Caenorhabditis elegans: one gene and its partner. Each later gene encodes a partner of the first gene's protein in a complex. Each region holds a gene or a part of one and is shown on either strand. Other genes may lie near its edges. A codon is read from its position in the direction of its gene.

What was found.
Region 2: the proteins of mut-7 (region 1) and rde-2 are in contact, whole or in part, in a crystal structure (PDB 8Q66), measured with the Caenorhabditis elegans proteins. Residues at the interface, in NP_499105.1 of Caenorhabditis elegans: Ile688 (codon at 4,079), Asp695 (codon at 4,100), Lys698 (codon at 4,109), Tyr699 (codon at 4,112), Glu702 (codon at 4,121), Ile703 (codon at 4,124), Arg705 (codon at 4,130), Val706 (codon at 4,133), Glu709 (codon at 4,142), His710 (codon at 4,145), Arg712 (codon at 4,151), Glu770 (codon at 4,325), Arg774 (codon at 4,337), Leu775 (codon at 4,340), Val795 (codon at 4,400), Tyr799 (codon at 4,412), Arg800 (codon at 4,415), Ala801 (codon at 4,418), Asp802 (codon at 4,421), Met803 (codon at 4,424), Ser831 (codon at 4,560), Arg832 (codon at 4,563), Pro833 (codon at 4,566), Ser834 (codon at 4,569), Thr836 (codon at 4,575), Ser837 (codon at 4,578), Lys838 (codon at 4,581), Trp839 (codon at 4,584), Val841 (codon at 4,590), Pro845 (codon at 4,602); in NP_001021399.1 of Caenorhabditis elegans: Asp320, Glu321, Asp322, Tyr324, Thr326, Arg335, Pro336, Phe337, Ile338, Asp340, Leu341, Ala342, Thr344, Val367, Gln368, Ile375, Ile384, Asn385, Thr417, Lys418, Arg420, Leu421, Ile422, Lys424, Pro426, Arg453, Cys454, Phe455, Gly456, Gly457.

The regions. Positions count from the first base shown.
Region 1 is NC_003281.10:9,538,420-9,544,108, reverse strand, and holds mut-7 (Exonuclease mut-7), read left to right. Parts: upstream 1-1,728; 5' UTR 1,729-1,753; coding exon 1,754-1,943; intron 1,944-2,014; coding exon 2,015-2,831; intron 2,832-2,878; coding exon 2,879-3,016; intron 3,017-3,064; coding exon 3,065-3,259; intron 3,260-3,307; coding exon 3,308-4,009; intron 4,010-4,059; coding exon 4,060-4,445; intron 4,446-4,497; coding exon 4,498-4,624; intron 4,625-4,675; coding exon 4,676-4,853; 3' UTR 4,854-5,078; downstream 5,079-5,689. Other genes in the region: eif-2Balpha (Translation initiation factor eIF2B subunit alpha), read right to left, coding at 29-230, 290-471, 535-800, 853-967; ZK1098.3 (uncharacterized protein), read left to right, coding at 5,411-5,503. UniProt on the Caenorhabditis elegans protein: Represses the transposition of Tc1, Tc3, Tc4, and Tc5, perhaps by degrading transposon-specific messages.
Region 2 is NC_003279.8:7,279,881-7,284,646, reverse strand, and holds rde-2 (SH2 domain-containing protein), read left to right. Parts: upstream 1-1,775; coding exon 1,776-2,011; intron 2,012-2,054; coding exon 2,055-2,205; intron 2,206-2,265; coding exon 2,266-2,415; intron 2,416-2,462; coding exon 2,463-2,561; intron 2,562-2,679; coding exon 2,680-2,739; intron 2,740-2,785; coding exon 2,786-3,187; intron 3,188-3,235; coding exon 3,236-3,455; intron 3,456-3,500; coding exon 3,501-3,908; intron 3,909-3,983; coding exon 3,984-3,994; 3' UTR 3,995-4,123; downstream 4,124-4,766. Other genes in the region: F21C3.6 (DUF4200 domain-containing protein), read left to right, coding at 100-292, 437-520, 619-687; pfd-6 (putative prefoldin subunit 6), read left to right, coding at 907-964, 1,012-1,082, 1,128-1,252, 1,391-1,517; hint-1 (Histidine triad nucleotide-binding protein 1), read left to right, coding at 4,336-4,458, 4,503-4,640, 4,715-4,766.

The DNA of each region.
Region 1 (5,689 bases):
ATTGAGTTATTTGATATAAATTGATTACTTTGAATTCTTGGGGAATATCGGCCTGGTTGAGTGGGAACTCCCGTACAAACTTGATAGTTTCAGCGCAAACATAGACGGGAACATGCCGTGATTTTGCGATGATACAAACATTAACAGTTCCAATTTTATTGATGATTCCACCGGTTTCCATGACTCCTTCAGCGCCAACTAGAACTGCTTGAATTCTTTCCATGACATATCTTAAAAAATAAAAAATGTATATACGTTTTTCTTATTGTTTTTTATAATTTCCACTCACCCCACACAGCTATCTAGAACTAAAGTAGTTGGAACTCCATTCTTTTTCAATTCTTCAAACACTAGTTTTCCTGAAGCATCCGGTTGCGATTCGGTGACCCAGACATGAAGGTGATATCCACTTTTGTGAGCATCAAGAATAGTTTCCAGAACCACTTTGCTGTATGAGTGTGTCAGAATATTCTAGAAAATACAAAGATTAAAATACATTAAATAGGAATTATTTAAATAGAAAAAAAAACGTACCATATGATGAGTGAAAAATAGACGAGCGCACTTGGAAATTTTGGCTCGAGAACCTCTGACATTCTTTATAAATGAGCGTGCTCGTTGGCGATACAGATCAAGAACTTGAGAAAAATCTTCTTGATCGAGAAGAGCAGCTGGAGCCAGAGAAGTGAATCTGGTGAACAAATCAGCGGCACTTCGAATTGATGTTGAGCTGTAGTCCGTTTTCTCGAGAGCAGCAACTACTTGATTTAGCTCATTTTGAAATTCGGCAACGGTGGTGGCTGTAATTAAGCAAAAAATTAATTGCCTAAATATTCAAATTCAGGAACTTACCGCGACTCCGGTCTAAAACCTCGAGCAGTGTTTCCACTGTGGCTAGACTCGTTGATTTGCTTGGATCGTTTTCAAGTTTTCCACGGAAAGATGAAATAATGCTTTCTTGAACCATGTTAGATGGAAAAAGTCTGCAAAAACAATAATGGAGAACGTTTGTCGTAGAAAGAAGAAATATTTATAGAAAAAATTTAATGAAAAAATAATGATGTAAACGCGCTCTATCGTTACGCAGAGAAGATAAGAGTTAGAGAGTTAGACAGTTTTGATAGTGGCAAATTTAAAAACAAAACATTTTTTTACTTATGTATTTAAAAGGTTTCGTGAAATTTAATTTATTTTCTCAATCTCGAATAAACATTTTAAACATATTTTTTGAGTCAGTCAGTTTACTTTCTACTCTCAACTATTTACGCATCTAAAATCTCCCATTGTGTGGCGAACTAAATAGGATAATAAATAATAATTTTCCTTTTCGAAACTTTTATACTATAATTAATTCCCTCAATTTGCTCCATAATCTCCATTAATTTTCCTCGTGTAATTGCTTCGTAGATCATTTGAATCGCCGCCGTGATACAGTACTATTCGCTAACCTGCACATCTTAAATACCATCGACAATTTTTTAAAAATTCATTTTCCATTTTGTTCATTGATTTCTTGGTTCTTTTTCCATTATTTTTGCCTCAATTTGTGCAAAAAGTGCTGGATATCGAATAATCCACAACGCTTTTCTGTTGTTCTTTCGGTTTTTGGGCCGTTTCTAGATTTTCCTCTCCGTAATACGAATTCTCGTGGGGAAACACGTTTTCCTTGTTCTTTGATTAATTTCTTTTGTACTAACTTTTCGACAAATATTTATTTATACTTTTTACAGAATCAAGCTTGTCCGTTTCGAAAATGGAAGAAGAACCGTACAAAAGAAAGCTAACGAAAGCCGAGAAAAAGGCAAAATATCGAACAGACTACGCCGAACCGTTGAAGTCACGCCGGGAAGTTCTGAAAGCAATTATGAATGGACCCGAGTCTGAGCGGGAGAGAAAAGTTCGAGCCAAAAATCGAGAATTTTTCAACGAGGACTATAGATCAGGTAAACATTTTAAAGTTCTTTTATTATTAAAAACTTTAAAAAACCCTCATTCATAATCTATACATTTAAAGGAGTCAACATCTACGGAATGGCTGTGGATATGATGAAAGCGATGCCGGATAGAGGAAAAACATCGGGACAAAGTTTGGCGGTTTGGTATCTGGAGGATTTTGGAGTTTGGTTAAAAGAGTCGGGACAGGAGACGGAGCTCAGACAGAAATATCTGACTGGAACTATTCAAATAAACGCCTTAGATGTGTGCACAATTGGACAAAAGCAGCTTCTCAGTGAAATCTTCGATATCACCAAAGAGAAATTCACTGAGGACATTACACAGTTGCTAGATGCTGCCATCAAGAAACAAGACTTCTCCGTTGCTGCAGATATGGCTATTCAGTACAATCTTCTACGGGATCATCATTTCGAACATCTTGTTCTTCCATTAATGCTATCTGGCAAAGATCAAACGGCTTATAAATTGATAAGTAACAATGAGAGGATGCAACAGCAGCTTGTAGAGTTTTTTGATCGAATGGTTGGAATCTCAGTGGTTGCCGTTGAAGAGATGCTGAAACCCTACAAGGAAACCAAAATTATGACGATTCCTATGGAGAAATTGACGGGAAAAACGTTGGACAAACTCATTTCGACGATTATCAACAAAAATACTCACGAATACAACTTCTCCAGGGAATTGTCGAAGTTCGCCAAAAACCACTCACAGAATGGGAATCTGAAGGCATTGAAGTTTAATATCAGTGAACGATACGAGAAGGGAAAATCCGATGACAACTATTTCCAGCATATGGTTGAAACTTTTACCAAAGCCGAAGATGTTCGTGAACCTATTTTGTTTTACTTGTGGAGCTCAAATGACACCGAGAAACAGTAAGTGACATTCAAAAAGATTTTTCTTTCTAAAATTCAATTTTCAGAATAGATGCCATCTGCTTTGCTATCTACTTAGGAATCGCTAGTTCCAGCAGCTATCAACTGCCGAATGTTATGAGGGACTTCTTTCGACAACCTGATTCGAAGCTCAGAGAAGCAAAAGAACTTCTAGTGAGAAGAAAGTAATTGTTTTCGATTTCTTCGACTTTTTTAAAACCATTTTTGTTCAGAACACTGCAAGTTCCTCTAAATGGCGAACAATTATTCGTATTTGAGAATGAGCGAAGAACTCAAATCCACATGGTGAAAACTGAATCTGAGATGAATTACTTATGTTCCGAGATCAAATCACTAAGCGACGAGCCAGCACCTGTTTACGTTGGATTCGATTCTGAGTGGAAACCGTCGAATCTTACAGCTGTTCAGTAAGTGAACAATTTCATTCTTAAAATTCCATATGCACCGATTTTCAGTGACTCGAAAATTGCTATCATACAATTGTTCTTCAAAAATTGTGTATGGCTTGTGGATTGCGTAGAATTAGAAAAGGCAAATATGGCAGATGACTGGTGGCAAAAGTTCGCATCTCGATTGTTCGGAGATTCTCCTGTAAAAGTCGTAGGATTTGATATGAGGAACGATCTGGATGCAATGGCTACAATCCCAGCACTGAAGTCATCCATGAAGATAGAAGATACCAAAAATGCATTCGATCTGAAGCGATTAGCAGAGAATGTTTGCGATATCGACATGGAAATTTTAGAGCTGCCAAAGAAGACTTTCAAATTGGCAGATTTGACACATTATCTACTGGGATTGGAGCTCGACAAAACTGAACAATGCAGTAACTGGCAATGTCGTCCTCTGCGAAAAAAACAAATTGTGTACGCAGCATTGGACGCAGTTGTCGTGGTGGAAACATTCAAGAAAATCTTGTCGATTGTAGAGGAGAAAAACAAGGACGCAGATATCGAGAAGATTGTCAGAGAATCAAATGTAATGGCTCCGAAAAAAGACAAAGGACACAAATCGTACCGCAAGCTGAAAACTATTCCATGGCTTGAGCTCTACGATATCTTGCGAAGCCATCGTAATCCTACGAGATCACCACAGCGACCACACGACATTAAAGTTATTGTTGACACAATGCTGATTGGATTTGGAAAGAATCTGAGGTTTGAAGTTTATCTTTAAAAAATGTTAAAGTTGAAAATTTTTATTTCAGGAGAGTTGGAATTGATGTTATTCTTCCAAAAGACGTGAGCGACTTCCGAAAGTACCTGAAGGAAATTGAACGAGTTGGCGGCGAGCATCTACGTCATATAATCACAGTGCCATCGAAAAGTTACGAAGCCTTGAAAATGGATTATGATAATTATACAATTGCAATTCCGGAACTCAATAACATGTCTCCCGTAGATCAGCTTATTGAGTTTTTCGACCTGTTCAACGTAGATATTCGTCCGGAAGACGTATATCCTCGATGCACTGAATGCAATTCTCGGCTTCAAATTAAATTCCCCGGACCAGTTTTACATTTCTTGCACCAATACTGTGTCATCCATGTGCAAAATGTTTATCGTGCGGATATGAGCGAATTTCCACTGGAAGGTTAGTTTATTTCTCGCTTGCGGTCAACATGGAAATTTATTTTTACTTATAGAATGGTGGAATCGTATGCTTCATATCAATCCAGACGACTACGACGGAGTAAAAGTGGAAATGTCGCGACCATCTCCAACAAGCAAGTGGATCGTGGCAACTGTTCCCACAGGATGCCTACATATTACGTAAGAAATTTATCCTTTAATATTATTAAAACCTAATTTGGCTTTATTTAGGCGACAAACTGCACTTCACACCAATCTGCCAGATGGAATTGAAGTTCGAATCCACAAAGTGCCTGATGACGAGTTCAAGCGTCGAAATCTCAGCTTCTATGTGTGTGGAGAATGCGGTACGGTGGCTTGTGATGGTCGTGGCAATCAAGCGTCGGAGAGCACCAGCCAGGAATGTTGAATTCGAAATCCCGTTCCCCTTCTCGTTTTAAACTTGTACCATTTTTCTTATTTTTTCCTATCCACATTTTGTGTCCTGCATGTAATATCACCTCGTCCCGGTAATAGTTCTAAGTTTATCTAGTTTTATTCTCCCTGTTCAACGGTTTTTAATATTCAATACTTATTCTGTTAATATTTTTGCCTCATCTGGCATTATTCATTTCAAATGAATATTTTGTTGTTTATTTGTTATTTTCCTGAGATGCACCGCTACATCGCGCTACGACGATCGATATATTCTAGGTCGTAAATAGAGTCATAGAAAAGAAAGAAACGCAGGATGAGAGAGAGGTGGAAGAGCGGGAACACATTCAATTGATTCTTCTTTACTTTTGTAAATGAATTTTTCGTGCTTATTTTAAATGTTTAGTTTAATAGTGACTCTTCTTTAAATTCAAAACTTTCTCCAATTTTTGAGAAAAGTGATTAACATGTTCATTTCGCAAGGCTCTACAATTTTAAATTCTTTTTTTTTTCATAAATTTGAATTATTAGATATAAAAATCTTTTTTTAAGATGGGAGATACAACATCATCGGAAGATGTTCCGGAAAATAAGCAAAAATCACTGAAGTTTGAGATTATTGATGCAAGAATGAAGATTTTCAAAGTAGGCTTCTTTTCATTCAATGAGGGACCCTAATTTTTAGTTTTGAACCACAAATACGGTAGCGGGTCTCGAAACAACCGATACTTGGCAGCTACCGTACCGCTGTCACAATTCGTAAAATAAATTCGAAAGTTCAGCGCCGTAAATCTACATCAGTGCTCGGGTCGTCATTTGAATAATTGTGTA
Region 2 (4,766 bases), on another chromosome or scaffold:
AGAGTGATTGTAAAGATTAGAAAAGTTGCAATTTCAAATTTCGTTTTGTTATAAAATAAAGTGAACATTCTGATTTGTTGAATTTTCAAACAATTTCAGAAAAACGGAAAATCAGAAGAAAGAATTTCGTAAACGCCAAGAAATATTCGAGAAAGTATTTCAAGACGCTGAATCTGGACAAAAAGCAGTTGAGAATGTGATGAGTGATTATCGGGAGTCAAGAAATGCAATCAAAGTGCAGTTATATACCGATTCAAATGATTTTATTCAAACACAACAAATTGAAAAATCGGTGAGTTTATGGTTTCTGTTTTACGATTTGTTTTATGATTTATTAGTATATTTGGATACAGTGTATATTAAATATTTTATTCAATTTTTTTTAGACTTTCAAAAAAGTGGATCAAGGCTAAAACAAAATTGATTTTTTTTCCAGCATTTCAACGCTGCTGGAGACCGACTTCGTTCTTCTGAAATTCAATTATCAAAACTAGAGTCAGAATTGAAAAAGACAAAACAGGTAAGAATATATTTTTATGTTTATAGAACCTAGGGAAATACCCTGAACTTACAAGAAACTTATTTAATTATTGTATATAATTAAGCTAAAACTTTCAGATACGCGAAGAATATTATCAAGATTCCATGCAAAGTTGGTTTTCACGATTCTGGAAATATCTATATTGAAAATATTTCGTATTGTCACTATTGAATGAAATTTTAGCAAAAGCATAACAAAATTGAAGTTAACATATACAATCCAGTTTTGAACTTCCGCCAAAAACGGAAAATGCGTCAAGAAAGCTTGCTGGCGCTTTGAAGGATGGCGCAGAACCCGTTTTTCTTCTAGATTTTTAAACACAATTTTGTTTTCTTTCACTTCTTTTCCCACTAAAAACGATCAAAATGGCTGATATGGCTAAATTCGAAGAAGAAGTTAACAAGCTCAGAACTCTTGAAAAAGGTTAGTAACTGTTAATTTAAACAATCTTTTCAATCGTTTAATTATAGACCGCGAAAAGTACTTCACGAGTCGCCAAGAGATGGAAATGAGATTAACTGAGAGTAAAAATGTGAAAGCGGTAAGAAAAAGTTTGAGATTCAGTTTTCATGTTATCTTCATTCAGGAGCTTGATCTGATGGAATCCGACTCGAAAGTCTACAAACTCATCGGAGCGGTTCTTGTTCGTCAAGATTTGGAGGAGGCTCGATCGACTGTGGAGAAACGGCTTGAGTTTATCGACTCTGAGACGTGAGTTGTAACGTTTATCATGTTTCTTTAGTATTACTTCTTGCACGCTATTGATTTACACGAAACAAATAAAAATAACAAATAAATTTTACCTTTAAACGTTTTAAAATGCAACAAAACTTTAATTACAATTTTCAGCAAACGAGTGGAAGCCAGCATCTCAGACATTTCGAAGAAGTGTACGGAACAGCGAGACAAGGTGATGAATATGCAAAAAAGCTTCCAGATGATGGCTCAAGCAGCAGCCCAAGCACAGAAGAAATAATCCAGTTTGTTCTATGAATCTCATATTTTTTGCTCTTAATTTGTTATTTTTTGCCTATTCTTCATCTCTGGTGTTTCTCCGAAACGAGAAGATCACATTAATTTTTCTATGAAAAAAATAAGTTTCTTGTTTCGGGGAACCATTTACAATAAATGCTTTCAAACTGTTTTATACCATTTGTGCTCACGTCTATGTTAAAAGTCATTGCTAATTACATCAGTTCTGATTTATAACTATATTCATTTTCTTGCTATTCAGATGCATAATGGGTACCATTCTTATTTTCCTCCAAATCACTATTATGCTCAAAGTCAGCCATCATCGTCGTATAATCCCCAACCACAAATTCAACAACCGCAAACCCAAATATATGGATTGGTAGTTGGTTACAATAAATATGGAAACAGAAATTATCTTTTCTATACCAAAAATATCGATGGATTTGTCGAAATCAGTGGAAATATTCAGAGCCTGCAGATAGGACGCTGGCTAAAGTTAGACATTATTTTATCTGATTTTATTAACTAGCAATTTTAGATTAACTGTTTGTCAGAACTTCGTGGGACAATACGTATTGGATTCCTCAAATAGTTGTGGATATGAAAACTGGGACGTTTTGCCGAATCACAGAAATTCATCGGCGAGATTCTTTCCGAAGTATGAGGCTAACGATGAAGGAGAAATTTTGGTAATCTCAAATGGAAAAAGTTTTAATAAATAAAGAGTACGGATTTTTATAATTTTTCAGATAACAGCTCGATTTGATGTAATAGTAGATCGGAAAAATAATTTGTATGATTTCACCAGTTACGATATTTCCTATGATCATATTATTGACGACTTTAGTCTGATCAAATCATCATGTCAACACTATGATGGACGCAGTTTTATTGTTGAAGTAAGTTATCGATTTTAAAAAAAACTATTAAAATAAAAATATTGCAGGCTCAAGCATCTCTGGCAGGTTGGGTCGCATTGAGTGTGCATGAAGATCCACAAAAGCTACACACCTGTGATGCTGTAAGCCGAAATGGATATCAATCAGTATGTGGCAAAAGTGTCCTGGTTCATTTTGAATTGTTCACATTTTGGTTTTTGCTTATCAAAATTTCCCAGAACATATAAGCCACAACCTCCTGCAGTTTACATAATATAATTTCAGCTCCCGAATCCAGTCGTTGATTCTGATGTACAGTATCTTCATGATACAAGACTGTTGGATGTATGTGACTTATAGTTCAGAATTTTTCAAGTAATCACATTTTTAGATTATGACTGGTAATGGATATGTTCAAACACCCGAAACCGACGTACAAGATCAACAATCAAGTCAACATCAAGAAGACGTGCATTCTCAAATGAACTCGCAGACATCTGATTCGTACAATTCCTCTAGAGTTGTGTCAGAGAATCGGGAAATACCTCCGGAAACTTTTCGAAGCCAAAGTATCGAATTGAATCAAGTTGATTCATCCTTGTCCCAGACTACAATCTCAAGTCGAGCAGCACCAGTTATTGATTCAAATCAGTTATCAGATGAAGATGAAATTGATGATGAAGATACATACGGAACACGTGGAACATCTAATATTCCGATGAGACCGTTTATTAAAGATTTAGCTCCAACGATGCTTCAACTGCTTCGTCAAGATAAAACTGATTCCGAAAAAGTACGTAATGCCAGAACAATAATATTAATCTTCATCACCATATTTCAGCCTCAATCTGCTTTATGCACCGTTGTGCAAAAAATCGATGGCTTTGCAATTTTGTACACAGCCAAAAGAGACGTTATAAACGTTTTGCTTCAAGAAAGATCGTGTGAAGGATTGGAAAGATCCCCTCAACTCGGAGACGTGGCATTCTTCGATATCTTGCCTCGTAGAATTGAAACAAAAGATAGGCTCATTTTCAAGATTCCATATACACATATTGCAGGTATTTTACAATTTACCAATGTTTTAAAAAAACTTTAATTTTAAGTGAAAAAGAAACCAGACACGCCAGATTCTCTCCTTAAAATTGATTGCTTTAAAAACTCGGTCAGATGCTTCGGAGGAGTGCTTGAAATGAAAGTAAAAATCGCACTTTCAAAACCTGAACTAGTAGTGGAGCAATATCATGACAACACAGAGATGAACTCGGATCATCATTTTTATTATTTGAAAGCAACAAATGGAGTACTTGTCACAATTCCAAAAGAACGTCTTCTGAATCATTTGAATTCGAAATTATCAGCAGATTTTGACCTAATCGCGTGGGTTGTTCATCGAAAACCAATTGGAAATGTTTCATTACATATTGGAAAGGGAGGTGAAGCTTATCAACAGTTCACAAATGGAGATATTCGAGAGCTTCCGCCATTGTCTTCTAATCAATATTTCATGAATGGTAAGTAAGAGGGAAACCGAGTTTTCGAAGAAACCTAGGAGAATTCTTGGTTTTCTATTCAAATTATTATTTCAGTTCGAAAGTAAAAACTGCACAATCGACAAATCACGTTATGGGTTCAAATTGTATTCTGGTACATTAATTCTTGTTCTTGTGTTAACTTTTTTGATTATTTTTTGTATCATTTTACTGATTAAAGCATTTATTTTCACATGTTTATTGTTTATTTCTCGTTGTCTAGCGTTTTCATCGTTTGAAATATATTGCATATTGGTTATTTTTTGCCCATTTTTCAATATTTTAGTATGGCTTCCTCTTTGGTTAAAACCGCTTTGCGTCTTGCTTACCGTAATCCAGTTAGGTCAGGGTTACTGTAGGCAAGGTGTCTTTATCGATTCCACCATTTTTCAGGTTTACAAAGAGAAACATGTCGGAAGTAGATAAAGCCCACTTGGCGGCAATTAACAAAGATGTTCAAGCCAACGACACTCTTTTCGGAAAAATAATTCGAAAAGAGATTCCAGCGAAAATCATTTTTGAAGATGATGAGGTATGTAAGATCAGGCAAACGATCACATAAAATATTTATTTAAGGCTCTCGCATTCCATGATGTCTCTCCACAAGCTCCAATTCATTTTCTTGTGATCCCTAAGCGTCGCATTGATATGCTCGAGAATGCCGTTGATTCGGATGCTGCGCTTATTGGAAAGCTTATGGTTACTGCTTCAAAGGTAATTATAAATGAGTAAAAACGAATTTGAAAATCCAGAAATCTCCATTATATTACTCTTAAATAAAATTCCAGGTTGCAAAGCAGCTCGGCATGGCCAATGGATACCGTGTTGTTGTGAACAATG